3 linked regions of the Rattus norvegicus genome follow. The protein of the gene in region 1 interacts with the protein of each later gene in a biochemical or structural test. Links are inferred from orthologs where the notes say so. Each region holds a gene or a part of one and is shown on either strand. Other genes may lie near its edges.

Region 1 (4,387 bases):
AATGAGGTAAAACGAGTGAATCTATGTACACGTCAAAAACAGGCGCCGGCTGCAGTGGCGGCGATGGAGCCACGGCGGAGGATGGGGCCACCCTGCAACCATAGCACGATGGTCGATTGTCGTCCTGAGGAGAGAGAGCGCGTACACAGACGCGGGTGCGCCTAGAAGCATTTGCGGTGCACAATGGAGGGGCCGGCCTCGTCGTACTCCTGCTTGGTGATCCACATCTGCTGGAAGGTGGACAGCGAGGCCAGGATGGAGCCGCCGATCCACACTGAGTACTTGCGCTCAGGGGGGGCGATGATCTGCAAGACAAGAGTGTCAGGTGCCTGCGAGTTCCCCCCGCCCCTGGTCTCCGCCCATACCAGGCGCGTCATCCACCTTGATCTTCATGGTGCTGGGAGCCAGAGCTGTGATCTCCTTCTGCATGCGGTCAGCGATACCGGGGTACATGGTAGTGCCCCCTGACATGACGTTGTTGGCGTACAGGTCCTTCCTGATGTCGATGTCGCACTTCATGATGCTGTTGTAGGTGGTCTCATGGATCCCCGCAGACTCCATACCTGGTGGCCCGGGGGAGAGGCAGTGTGAGCAACCACAGAGTCAGACTAAGGGCACCGGCGGGAGGAGACCCCGTACTCTGAGGCGTGGGATGAGGGAAAATTGATTCCGGCAAACCAGCGGAGCCGGAGGCTCACCGATAAAGGAAGGCTGGAAGAGCGTCTCCGGGCAACGGAAGCGCTCATTGCCGATGGTGATGACCTGCCCGTCAGGCAGCTCATAGCTCTTTTCCAGGGAGGAGGAAGAGGCAGCGGTGGCCATCTCATTCTCGAAGTCCAGGGCCACGTAGCACAGCTTCTCTTTGATGTCGCGCACAATCTCACGTTCAGCTGCAGGAGCAGAAGCAGTGGGAGGCCTCAGAGCAAGGCCTGGGGCATGTGCTCACCCTCTGCCGGCCCACCCTCAGCGGGGCGTTGAGAGCACGCACCTGTGGTCACGAAGGAATAGCCACGCTCGGTGAGGATTTTCATCAGGTAGTCAGTAAGGTCGCGACCAGCCAGGTCCAGACGCATGATGGCGTGTGGCAGGGCATAACCCTCATAGATGGGCACGTTGTGGGTGACACCGTCCCCAGAATCCAACACGATGCCTGTGCAGGGGAGGAGCAGTGTGTGAGTGGAGGGGACCAGCAGAGAGAGCAGGGACAGTGGTTCTGGACTGGGGGTCATCAGGGATTGAATGGGAACGGTGCAGGGTCTGAGGCAGAGGATTCAAAAGCTGGGCTGGAATGTTGGGGCGACGCTACCTGGACCAGAGTGGGCCGTGTGTGAGCACTCACCGGTGGTACGGCCGGAGGCATAGAGAGACAGCACCGCCTGAATAGCCACATACATAGCAGGCACGTTGAAGGTCTCAAACATGATTTGAGTCATCTTCTCCCGGTTAGCTTTGGGGTTCAAAGGGGCCTCAGTGAGCAGGGTCGGGTGCTCCTCGGGGGCCACACGCAGCTCATTGTAGAAGGTGTGGTGCCAGATCTTCTCCATGTCGTCCCAGTTGGTGATAATGCCGTGTTCAATGGGGTACTTCAGGGTCAGGATACCTCGCTTGCTCTGGGCCTCGTCGCCCACGTAGGAATCCTTCTGACCCATACCGACCATGACACCCTGCAGATGGAGACATCAGATACTTGTTACTACAGCCAGGGGGCAGGGAGAACACCGGCTGTATTCGGAGAGCCTATCTTCTGCTAGCAGCCTGACCTGGTGACGGGGCCGACCCACGATGGATGGGAACACAGCCCTGGGGGCATCATCCCCGGCAAAGCCAGCTTTCACCAGGCCAGAGCCGTTGTCACACACAAGAGCGGTGGTCTCGTCCTCGTCACACATGGTGTCTAGTTTCTGCAAAGAGAAAGTGTTGAGCGTTGTGAGTATGTGATGGGGGTTAAGGTGAAGCTCTGCTTAACCCATCTTCACTTTGGAGATCCACACACTCCTCTCCCCCAGCCCCTTCCTTGCACAGGGCCAGAGGATGCTCTCCCAGGTCAAGGCTGTGCTTTTTGCTATGGGAAGCAGTTTGTTGGCCACTTTAATCCCTCCATGTAGGCATGCAGAGGACATCCTGAGATCCTCAGCCTTCGCTGTTGGCCACACATGTCACAGCTAGCGCTGGCGCTATTCCTCTCTACTCAATCTCATCTGTGAAGGAGGCATTAAGGTCCACCTGCCAGTCTTATGAGAGCGGCAAGGATTTTGCCCAAGGAAGGGTAATACTGTCCCAACTCTGGAAAGAATTGCCCGTTTGAAGCCCCACGGCATTCCAAACTCAGAAGGAACCCTTCCACCCGCCTCCTATTTCAGAGAAGAGTAGCCTGGCACGGTGCTGGGCTTTAGAAAAGCCTTGAGCTCAGAAGGCTAAGACAATGCTTGCCTCTCTCCAAACTCATCTTCAAGTCAGTCTCCCAGGGGCTGGCTCTGTGGGAGATCCAGCCCACCTCTTGCATCACAAGGGCCCAGATTTGATCCCAGCAGAGAAAGAGGGTGGGGAGGAGAGAGGGATGAAAGGCAGGAGGGGAAACTAATTCAGGGAGAGAAATCTCAACCAACCAGGGGCTGGTGTGTGGCTCGGTAGGAAAACACTGGCTTGCTCACTTGCAGGAGGACTCGGATTTAGTCCCCAGCAAGGGGGGGGGGAGGGTAGAGTCTGAGGGTGGAAATGGATGGGTGTCAGACACCCCCTCCCACCAGGCAAAAAAGTCAGCATCCCAAATGGGCTGGATATGAGTTTGGAGAAATTTCCAGAGCCCAGTGACAAATACAGGCCCAAGGCTCAATAGGTTTCTCTGCTGGGTCTCCAGGTCACCCTCCCCACCTCCACCCTACCTGCTGCTCTGACTCTGGCCCTGGGTGCCGAGGGTAGGAAGTGAGGCTTCACGTCCGTGTGACCGCCTGTCCCTAGCTCAGGTTTTTATATAGTCCTGGAGCTCTCTCCACACCGCCCCGAAGGAATGTTGTTGCCCTTCCCAAGCCATATTTGGGTGTTGGGCACTAGAGTCCCTTCGGCTGCTTCTCAGCCTGGGTCCCCGCCCGGGTCTCCTGCACTGACCAAAGAAGGAGAGAACTGGCCCTGGCCCAGGTAGCTAGGACCGGACCGGGCCGTATATGGAGAGTATCCCAGCTGTCCGCTCCTCCCAACTGGCTCCAAGGCTGCTGAAGGGCTGGGCTGGACCAAAGGTCACTGTTTTGCCGATCACTGATCTGCACTTCCCAAGTTTTACCTGTTTCAAAGGTCTCCCCAGATCTGCCCACCTGAGCGTGATTGCTGACTTGTCACAATGCACTCCACCTACGGGTTCTTAACTCAGACTACCAAACCCTGATGCGAAAGCCCAGGGGAGGGAGCCCTGTTGTCAGATGAGCTGGGAGGGGTCATGGGCCCCAGATAGGGATGGAAAAGAACCCCCACATTCAAACATTTTCTTCCCCACCTCAAAGCTCCCCAATCCAGAGATCTGACACACATCACCCCCATTCACCCCCACAGGCTGTCAGTCAGTGTAGAACATGCAGCTGTCACTGGGTAGACAACTGGTGGAAGAGAGGGGAGGAGGTAGTGAGGGGAGAGGCATGGTGGCTATGTGGCCTTGGCCCAAGGAATGTGAGGCCAGGGCATTAGAGCTGTCCCCGAATTCTACGTGTACTCTTGAAAGGAATGGAAGGGCCAGTGTGCGCATGTGTATCCCAAACTCTGGAATTGACTGGCATCTTGTTGGCTAGGTTGAGCAAATGATACCCGTTCTCCTCTGGTGGCACTAAGTTTCCCTCCCCTGGGTCTGAGCAAAGGGTCCCACCTGGAACTGTTGGAACCTAGAGGGGGCTGAGGCAGGGAGAGGTGGTGATGAACGTGCCTTCTAAGGAGCACTCAGATCTTACCCTGCAGCCCAAGAGCAGCTCCTCCCACCAGACTCATCTTTATATTTAGAGGATGATGCCTGACAGCCAGGCTGCTTCCCATCCACCTTGGGGGCACCACCTGCCAGGCCTGTGTGGGTTCTATTTATACTGCAGATAGATGGGGATCTATCCGCCTTTGGGTTTCTAGAAGGAGCTACTTATGGAAGCTGGGGCAGGGGGGTGAGTAGAGGTCATCTCTTGGCGCCTGTCTCAATTTGGGAATGGAGAGGGATAAGAAAGCCCAAAGGAAACTGTTCTGTGACCAACCAGGCGACATGCTTGGAGGGGTGCATCAGAGCCAAGCCTCCATGGAGCCATTCACTTTTCTGATGGCTTAAGCGCTCCCAAAATAGCTGTTCCCATTTGGAGTGGAACTTAGCAGCTGGGACAGGTGCAGAGCCTCTGAGAGAAGAGGCTCCATGAAGGGACTCCAG
Region 2 (3,648 bases), on another chromosome or scaffold:
CATTTGGCCTTTCTCGCATAGTCTGGTATTTCTCAGTGAAGGGATTTTTAGCATCTCTGAGGTGAGGAACACTTGGAGACATTCTGGTAGTGGCTCTCATCTAATTTCCTACCCCCCTTTTTCTTGCAGTTAGACCACAATCAAGGATAACTTCCCATGGCCTCCTCTCCTCCCTTTACTAAATGAGCATCCTCTTCACATCGCTGGCTTTAGCTTCCTGTAAGTTCCTGGGTTTTCCTGTTTTCAAATATCCCAAGATGACATGGTGTGCAGTGAGTTTGAAATGATGAGCACCGATGAACTTGGCAGGGAAAGAAATGATGTAAAAGAGAGGCTGAAGGGGGCACACATGCCAGTCATTGGGTAAGGGTAGTCACCATACAGAATCTATTGTAATAATGGTGTGGAACGGACACTGATTGTTCTGTGGAGGCCTTTAAACCAGGTCCACCTATTTGTACCTAGGCCAATGACCTCATTAGTAAAGGTTTGTCTCCTTAGCTCTGCCTTCATCAGTTACTGTCTGTACACTGAATTTTAATCTTCTTCCTTCAGGATTTCAATTTCTAAGTAAATGCTATAGGAGAGAAAACACAGGCAAATGTACAAGCATGTACCTGATATATGGGTTTTCTTTATACCCCGACATGCATACTGACTACATAGCACATGTTAAAGTTATTTTAAGAGGTTTATGAGTTTGTATTTATGAGGTTCAAATTTAAAGTGATCTAAAAGTTTATTTGTTTATACATTCTCTCATATCATGACCACAGTTTCTCCCTCCCTGCCTCCTCCCCTTTCTCCCCCAATCTACTCTTCCTTTCCCTTCAGATAAAAAGCAAGCTTTTCAGGGATATCAACCAAACATTGCATATCAGGTTATAATACGACTATGCACTTCCCTTCCTATGAAGGCTCGCTGAGGCAATCCAGTAGGAGGAAATGGGTCCCAAAAGCAGATAAAAGGGTCAGAGATATCCCCCAGTCCCACTGTTACAATCCCCACAAGAAGACCACGATACACAACCATAATATACACTGAGCACTTTGCTCAGTCCCATGCAGGGTCGCCAATTTTCAGTTGTCTCTGTGAGACCCTATGAGCCCAAGTCAGTTGATTCTGTGAGTTTCTTGTGGTGTCCTTGACCCCTCTGGCTCCTATAATCCTTCCTTTCCCTCTTCTGCTGGCTTCCCCCAAGCTCTGCCTAATGGTTTGGCTGTGGTCTTTGCATCAGTTTCCGTCAGCTGCTGGGTAGAGCCTCTCTGATGACAATTGTATTAGGCACCAATCTTTGGGTACGACTCTAAAAGTTTTTAAGAGTCCAACCTGGATTTAAATCTGACACACGGTCCTCATTATCAGCATTTATTTAGTCATTCAGTTACCTTATCCAGTCAGTTTTCTTTTGGAACTTGTAGTGACACTGAATAAAAGGAACTCAGTAATAAGATAAATGTGGGCACTAAAAATAATAGTCTTTAATTTTCCTTCTAACTGGGAGTAGGTGACTTGGTATCTAGAGTGTCCTGAAAATGTGACATAAAGGCCTATGGCTAGTCCTTTCCCTGATCCACAATAGAGACAGATAGACAGACAGACAGACAGGCGCGCACACACACACACACACACACACACACACACACACACACACACACACTTACCCTGGTGTCATAGCAGTTGGGATCTGCTCCCTCAGCACAGCATTCCTCAGTTAAGGAGACAACTTCCTTCACAAGCTGACTGACCTGTTCAAAGGTGCTACTGGGAAACTTCCTGCTGTATAGGATTAGTGATCTGAGGGAGAGAAAAGCGATCATGTTAATTGAGGGGTTTTTTTTTGTTTTTTGTTTTGTTTTTGTTTTGTTTTGTTTTGTTTTGTTTTGTTTTGTTTTTTTGGCATTTTTGACTCACGCCAAAATAGGATATCTATTCCACTTTTAAATAAAATATTTTATGCATTAACTTTTTCTATTTGTCTAAAGGTGAGAATATGAAGTTGTATGTAGAGCATTTGTTTGTTCTATGAAAAACTATCTTGTGTACAGTCGTGGTGGTTTGAAAAAATGCTGCCCCTCTCCCCATAAGCCCCAAGGGAGTAGCACTATTAGGAAGTGTGGCCTCGTTGGAGTGGGCGTGACTTTGGTGGAGGAGATGTGTCACTAGGGGGTAGCCTCTGAGGTCTCTGAAGCTCAAGCCAGTTCACTTCCTGCTCCCTGCCGATCTTGATGTAGAGCTCTCAGCTTCTTTGTCAGTCCCATGTCTGCCTGGATGCTGCCATGCTTCCTGCCATGATGATAATGGACTAAACCTCAGAATGTGAAAGCCAGAACCAATTAAATGTTTTCCTTTATACAAGTTGCTGTGATCATGGTCTTTCTTTACAGCGATAGAAACCCCTAACTAAGACAACAGTAAAAAAACTGGATTTGTAGTTCCTATCAAAATAGCCTGGAGTCTGTTTTGAACTTCCCCACAAAAAGCATATTCTGTAGGTCACTGCTGGTATGTTCCAGAGTCCTAAAACGGACAGTTCTAATTTATCTCAGAAACCCGTATGTATGCTTCACTACAAACTCATTCCTTAGATTTACCAGTGACGGTTTCTCAGACCACAGTAACCACAGGTCAGCTGACCTCTACCTGCTTGACCTGTTGGTCCACAGTGGCCAACAGTCTTCCCTCATCTTGGTGCCCATTTCAGTCTTCTAGATAGCATGGCAGTTAGCTTGTGCACACATGACTTGTCTAAGGTCATGTCCCCAAGAGAACTTTACAGATATGGCAACTCACAGAGATCTGAAGTCATCTTTCCCCAGCGTGGAGAGTTCCTGGCAAACTTTATCCTTCTCATAATCTCGGCCTAGAAAGCAGATATAAAAAGTAACCATCTTTTTTCTTCAAATAAATATTATATTATATAAAATATATTATATATGTTATATACATATATGTAATACACTTATATAATATTGCTCTTCAACATGACCTGTAGTAAAGGCTTTTCTTAATACCTGTGCAGTTTTCATTTGCAGTTATCTTTTCATCTATCTCCTCATAATAAGCCTCAATTTTGTGATTTTTTTTCTATTAACTTCTACTGTGTAGCAAGCACAAAAGGTAGACCGAAGTGACACTCAGCATGAAAGTGAAATGCTACACGTCAGTGAGTCAGGACTACCCACACGAAAACCATTCTCTCTGGCCTTCTGTATAGAGTGCTGCAGGGGGTTGCTCCTCTGTCCCTCCTTCCCAGTCTTCCTTCTCTCTCTCCCTCCCCTCTTCCTTTCCTTTTCTTTCTTCTCTCCTTCCCTTTTGTTGTCTGTTTCGTCTAAGCCTTCAACAAGCCAAATGACAAAGGTAAGAAAGAAGCCTCTGGACTCCCAGATGAGTCTCTAGTTATATTAAGGCTGAACTTGGAAGAAGACAGTAATTCGGAAAGCTGCAGTCGGGCTCTGTCACCACCCCAGACTCCTAAGGAATTCAGCTAGGGAAATGGCTGTACTTCCTTGCTCTTCAAGAGTAGTGAGGGCATCTTCATAATCATAGTCCTTCTTAGCTTTCCTTTAGGGTCTGGGATTCTGACTTTAGAAATCACCTGGGCAGTTTTAGTTCAAAAGCCGAATGAACAAAGAAGATAGTTGTGG
Region 3 (3,648 bases), on another chromosome or scaffold:
GAGTTGACTCTCACAAAGCAAGAGTGAGCTCCAACGACATGGAGGAATCTCAGATATGCACGGTTGAAAAAAGGAATTCAACATAAGAGAGGACGGTCTCCTGCACATAATTTCAGAAACGTGCAAGAAAACCAAAAAACAAACAAACCGAGTCTATCCGATTGAGAGTTCTGAAGGCTGCCCTCAGGGCAGAGGGACTGGGAGGAACAGCCAATGCTTTGCAGAGAGCTGTGATGCTGTTTCCTGATCTACAGTTAGGAGTTTGCAGGTACGCTCGCTGGGTGAGATACAGAACAGCAGCTGGGAGTATAGCACAGCTTGCCATGTCACTTTAAAAAAACTACACTGAAGCCTAAAAGGCAGCTCTAGAGCACTGGACGCTCTCTCAGGTCATCCGGGTTTGACCCCCAGCACTCACATGGACGCTCACAGCCATCTATAACTCCAGTCCCAGAGGAGCCACGTCCCTCCTCTGACCTCTGTAGGGATCAGGTACACATGGTACACAGATGAATATGCACCTCAAACACCCTTACACATACCACAGGCTCATGTGCACAGAAGTTTTAGGGCACAATGTCTGGCTGTAACCGTCTGCGGGTTTGTGCTCATGCGGAGTATGTGAGAAGCATCACCATTAACCTGTAAGCAGGCCTTGGCATGCGTACCACACACAGCATCACATACTAGGTACATAGGCAACCTGTGATGTTTATGTCGCATGTACACTATGGGTCCATCCAGGTCTGTATGTGTGGGCACTCACTGTAGGGTTAGTGTCCATAGTGGACGAGGACCTTCAGGTTTGCCCATAGCTGCCATGTGCTTAGAGGTGAGTGTCTATATTTTAAAGGGCATATAACTGTGTGTCAGATATCAGAGAGGCTGCATTTCAAGATCACTGTGTGAGTGATGGGAACCCGAGGTCCGTGTACACATGCAAGACAAGCTTGAGTCTACATGTGGTAATCTAGTACCAGACTTATCCAATCTAGATCTGCCCGCCTGACACCTCTGTCAGCCTCTGGTCTCTATCCCCCAAGTATTCATGCACCCCTTCACCAGTGTTTCCCCTCCCCAGAGTCAGACCTGGCCAAGTTCACCACAGTGGCCTTGGGAAAGGGCAGGCAAGACTCACATTTCCCAGGTCCAGAATGAAGCAGTCACCGTTGTTGAAACTGTCCCAGGACACAGGTACTTCAGTGGCACGGACTACACGGCGTCCCTTGACCTGGAAGAGCCTCTGCACCACCACCTCGTTGGGTACCACGTGTTTGAATCCAGATGCCACGCCTCCTTTCTGTCAGGTCAAGGGGACAGTGTTAGTCCAGGGGAGGAGGTCTGGTGAAGTAGATAACAGAGGGGGTACAGGACTGAGGGAAGGAAACTTCCGACTACTGGATAGATACTCAGTGCACCCAGGAACGTCACTCTTACTGTGTCTGATACTGAGACATTCTCTTCTGGGGTTCAGTAAAATGAATAACATTTACCAAAACCATGTGGCTAAAAAGCATTAGATTCCCTACCCACTACATTCCACTGAACCTTACACTCCACCTCAAAGATCTCAGAAGCCACTTCCTGGATCAAAGGACTGTAAACATTCCTCTCCAAAACCAGCGCTCCCCAGGGGGCGGGCACGTTGTGGCACACTACACAAGCTATTCTTCAAGGAAAGAGATCAGTCATCAAAGTGTAGGGGATGTTCCTTACTCACTGAGCCTGACTGTTACACAATGAGCACGAACATATATACCAAGGGCTCCTATGGTTATATTCCACAGTCTCTCCCTAGCTCGCCACTCTTCTCCACCTCACCCCGTTCCAGCACCTATTCTGCAAGACACTCCTTGATAAGCGCTAATCCAACCCACTACAGCCCTTCCCATCATGCGAGGATCTCTGAAGGTCGTCTTGGACACCCCTAGCCCACATTACCCTGTCTCCTTCTTCCTGCGGGGGTCCTGTAAGCCCACAGGTCCACGTGAGCCTTCATGCGGGTAGAGGAAAGGGCCAGCCTCCATCACAGCAATGGATGACTTTCAGTAACCATCTCCCCAGTCTTAGCCTCAGGCCTCTCCTGCATCCTTCAGCCACCACCAAATTCGGAAGGACCCTGCTCAGAGGCTTCCTTACCCCAGCTGCGCCCCCGTACCCCCGACACACTGGTTCAGTAGAAAGTCTAAGGAAGCTGTCTGGGATGGCTCCAGATTCAGGTACTCACCAGCCCTCCACCTTACACTCTTTTTGCCCAACCTAAGCCAAAGCCCAGAGAAGTGAAGTGATTTCCTCTGGCATGCTCAGCAGGTCTGGGGCACACTCAAGGCTTCCAGCCTTGCTGCCTGCTATGGGTCTCCCTGTTCCATGTACCATGAGGGTGAGGGTCTGGAGGCTTCTATAGGTCCTCAGACCACCCCAGTCAGGACCCTATCTGCCCATCTCCTTGCACTGACCCTAGCCATACAATCATGATGGGTGTAAGGAGGCTGAGGCGGCCATTTTAGGAGGCCCGTGTTAGCCACGGTAACAGTAAGTGGAATGGATGTGTTTATCACGTGATCATACCCACTATACCACACATTCCACATGTATCTCACAGGTGAGGAGAGCAGAGCTCACACATGAAGGGACTCGCCCAAGCTCTCACAGCAGGATGGGTAGTGCGGCCGGCATCAAACCACAGTGTGTTGGAATCTGCAAAATCATGTCCTTCCTCCCAATATCAGATCTTAGGCCCAGGTACAAGCAGTTTTGAGTTTCTGGGGGCTGGAGCGCCCTCTGGTGTCCTTTCTTGGTGTGGGCGTAAAGCCTATTCAGCACCACCAGGCAGCTGTGGTGCCACTGGGTGGAATGACCTCAGCTACACCCGTGGCTTCCGTCTCGACTGGAAAGTCCACAAGTCAGTAGCAAGCCAGGAACTTTTCCCATCATAGAAAGAATAAACCTGAGTTCAGGTGGCCATGATGCCTGAGGCCCAAGAATGGTGTGAAGGCTGGAGGAGGGCAAGGGTTGAGGCAGTCGCTGGGGATGAGGTGAGGAACAGACACTGGGCAGCTACCCTAGCATTCTGTGCTTCCTCCACAGTCACCCACAGCACCCCAGGGTCACATGATTAAGCAGCAGTCAGGCTGGGCAATGCTGCCCATGTAGGACTCACAACAGCCTCTGAGGTAGGAACAGTCGTGGCATGAGGCACCAAGATGCTGGTGGGCCTGAGAGTCCTGATGCATTCATTCTACTCACTGCTGCTGACCCAGAGAATGACACTTGAAGAGATACACATACACACATACATGCACACATATCGACATACATACTTACATATATACATACATACACACATATACACACATACATATACACATACACACACATACACACATACACACATACACACACATACACACATGCATACATTTATACATACACACATGCATACACACATACATACATACACACATACACATATACACACACATGCGTACATTTATACATACACACATACACATATACACACACATACACACATGCGTACATTTATACATACACACATGCATACATATACACATATACATATACATACATATATACATACCCTATATACACATATACATATACACACATACATACATATACATACATACA

What was found.
Region 2: the proteins of Acta1 (region 1) and Gc are reported together in a solved structure, tested with the Homo sapiens proteins (2 studies listed by BioGRID and IntAct). The link is inferred for Rattus norvegicus from reciprocal best matches to the Homo sapiens genes ACTA1 and GC.
Region 3: the proteins of Acta1 (region 1) and Gsn are reported together in a solved structure, tested with the Homo sapiens proteins (3 studies listed by BioGRID and IntAct). The link is inferred for Rattus norvegicus from reciprocal best matches to the Homo sapiens genes ACTA1 and GSN.

The regions. Positions count from the first base shown.
Region 1 is NC_086037.1:68,781,252-68,785,638, forward strand, and holds the start of Acta1 (actin, alpha skeletal muscle), read right to left. Parts: upstream 2,944-4,387; 5' UTR 2,883-2,943; intron 1,902-2,882; 5' UTR 1,890-1,901; coding exon 1,761-1,889; intron 1,665-1,760; coding exon 1,340-1,664; intron 1,151-1,339; coding exon 989-1,150; intron 891-988; coding exon 699-890; intron 564-698; coding exon 382-563; intron 306-381; coding exon 162-305; 3' UTR 1-161. UniProt on the Homo sapiens protein: Actins are highly conserved proteins that are involved in various types of cell motility and are ubiquitously expressed in all eukaryotic cells.
Region 2 is NC_086032.1:18,926,190-18,929,837, reverse strand, and holds part of Gc (vitamin D-binding protein precursor), read right to left. Parts: intron 2,865-3,648; coding exon 2,795-2,864; intron 1,799-2,794; coding exon 1,666-1,798; intron 1-1,665. UniProt on the Homo sapiens protein: Involved in vitamin D transport and storage, scavenging of extracellular G-actin, enhancement of the chemotactic activity of C5 alpha for neutrophils in inflammation and macrophage activation.
Region 3 is NC_086021.1:39,015,320-39,018,967, reverse strand, and holds part of Gsn (gelsolin precursor), read right to left. Parts: intron 1,301-3,648; coding exon 1,139-1,300; intron 1-1,138. UniProt on the Homo sapiens protein: Calcium-regulated, actin-modulating protein that binds to the plus (or barbed) ends of actin monomers or filaments, preventing monomer exchange (end-blocking or capping).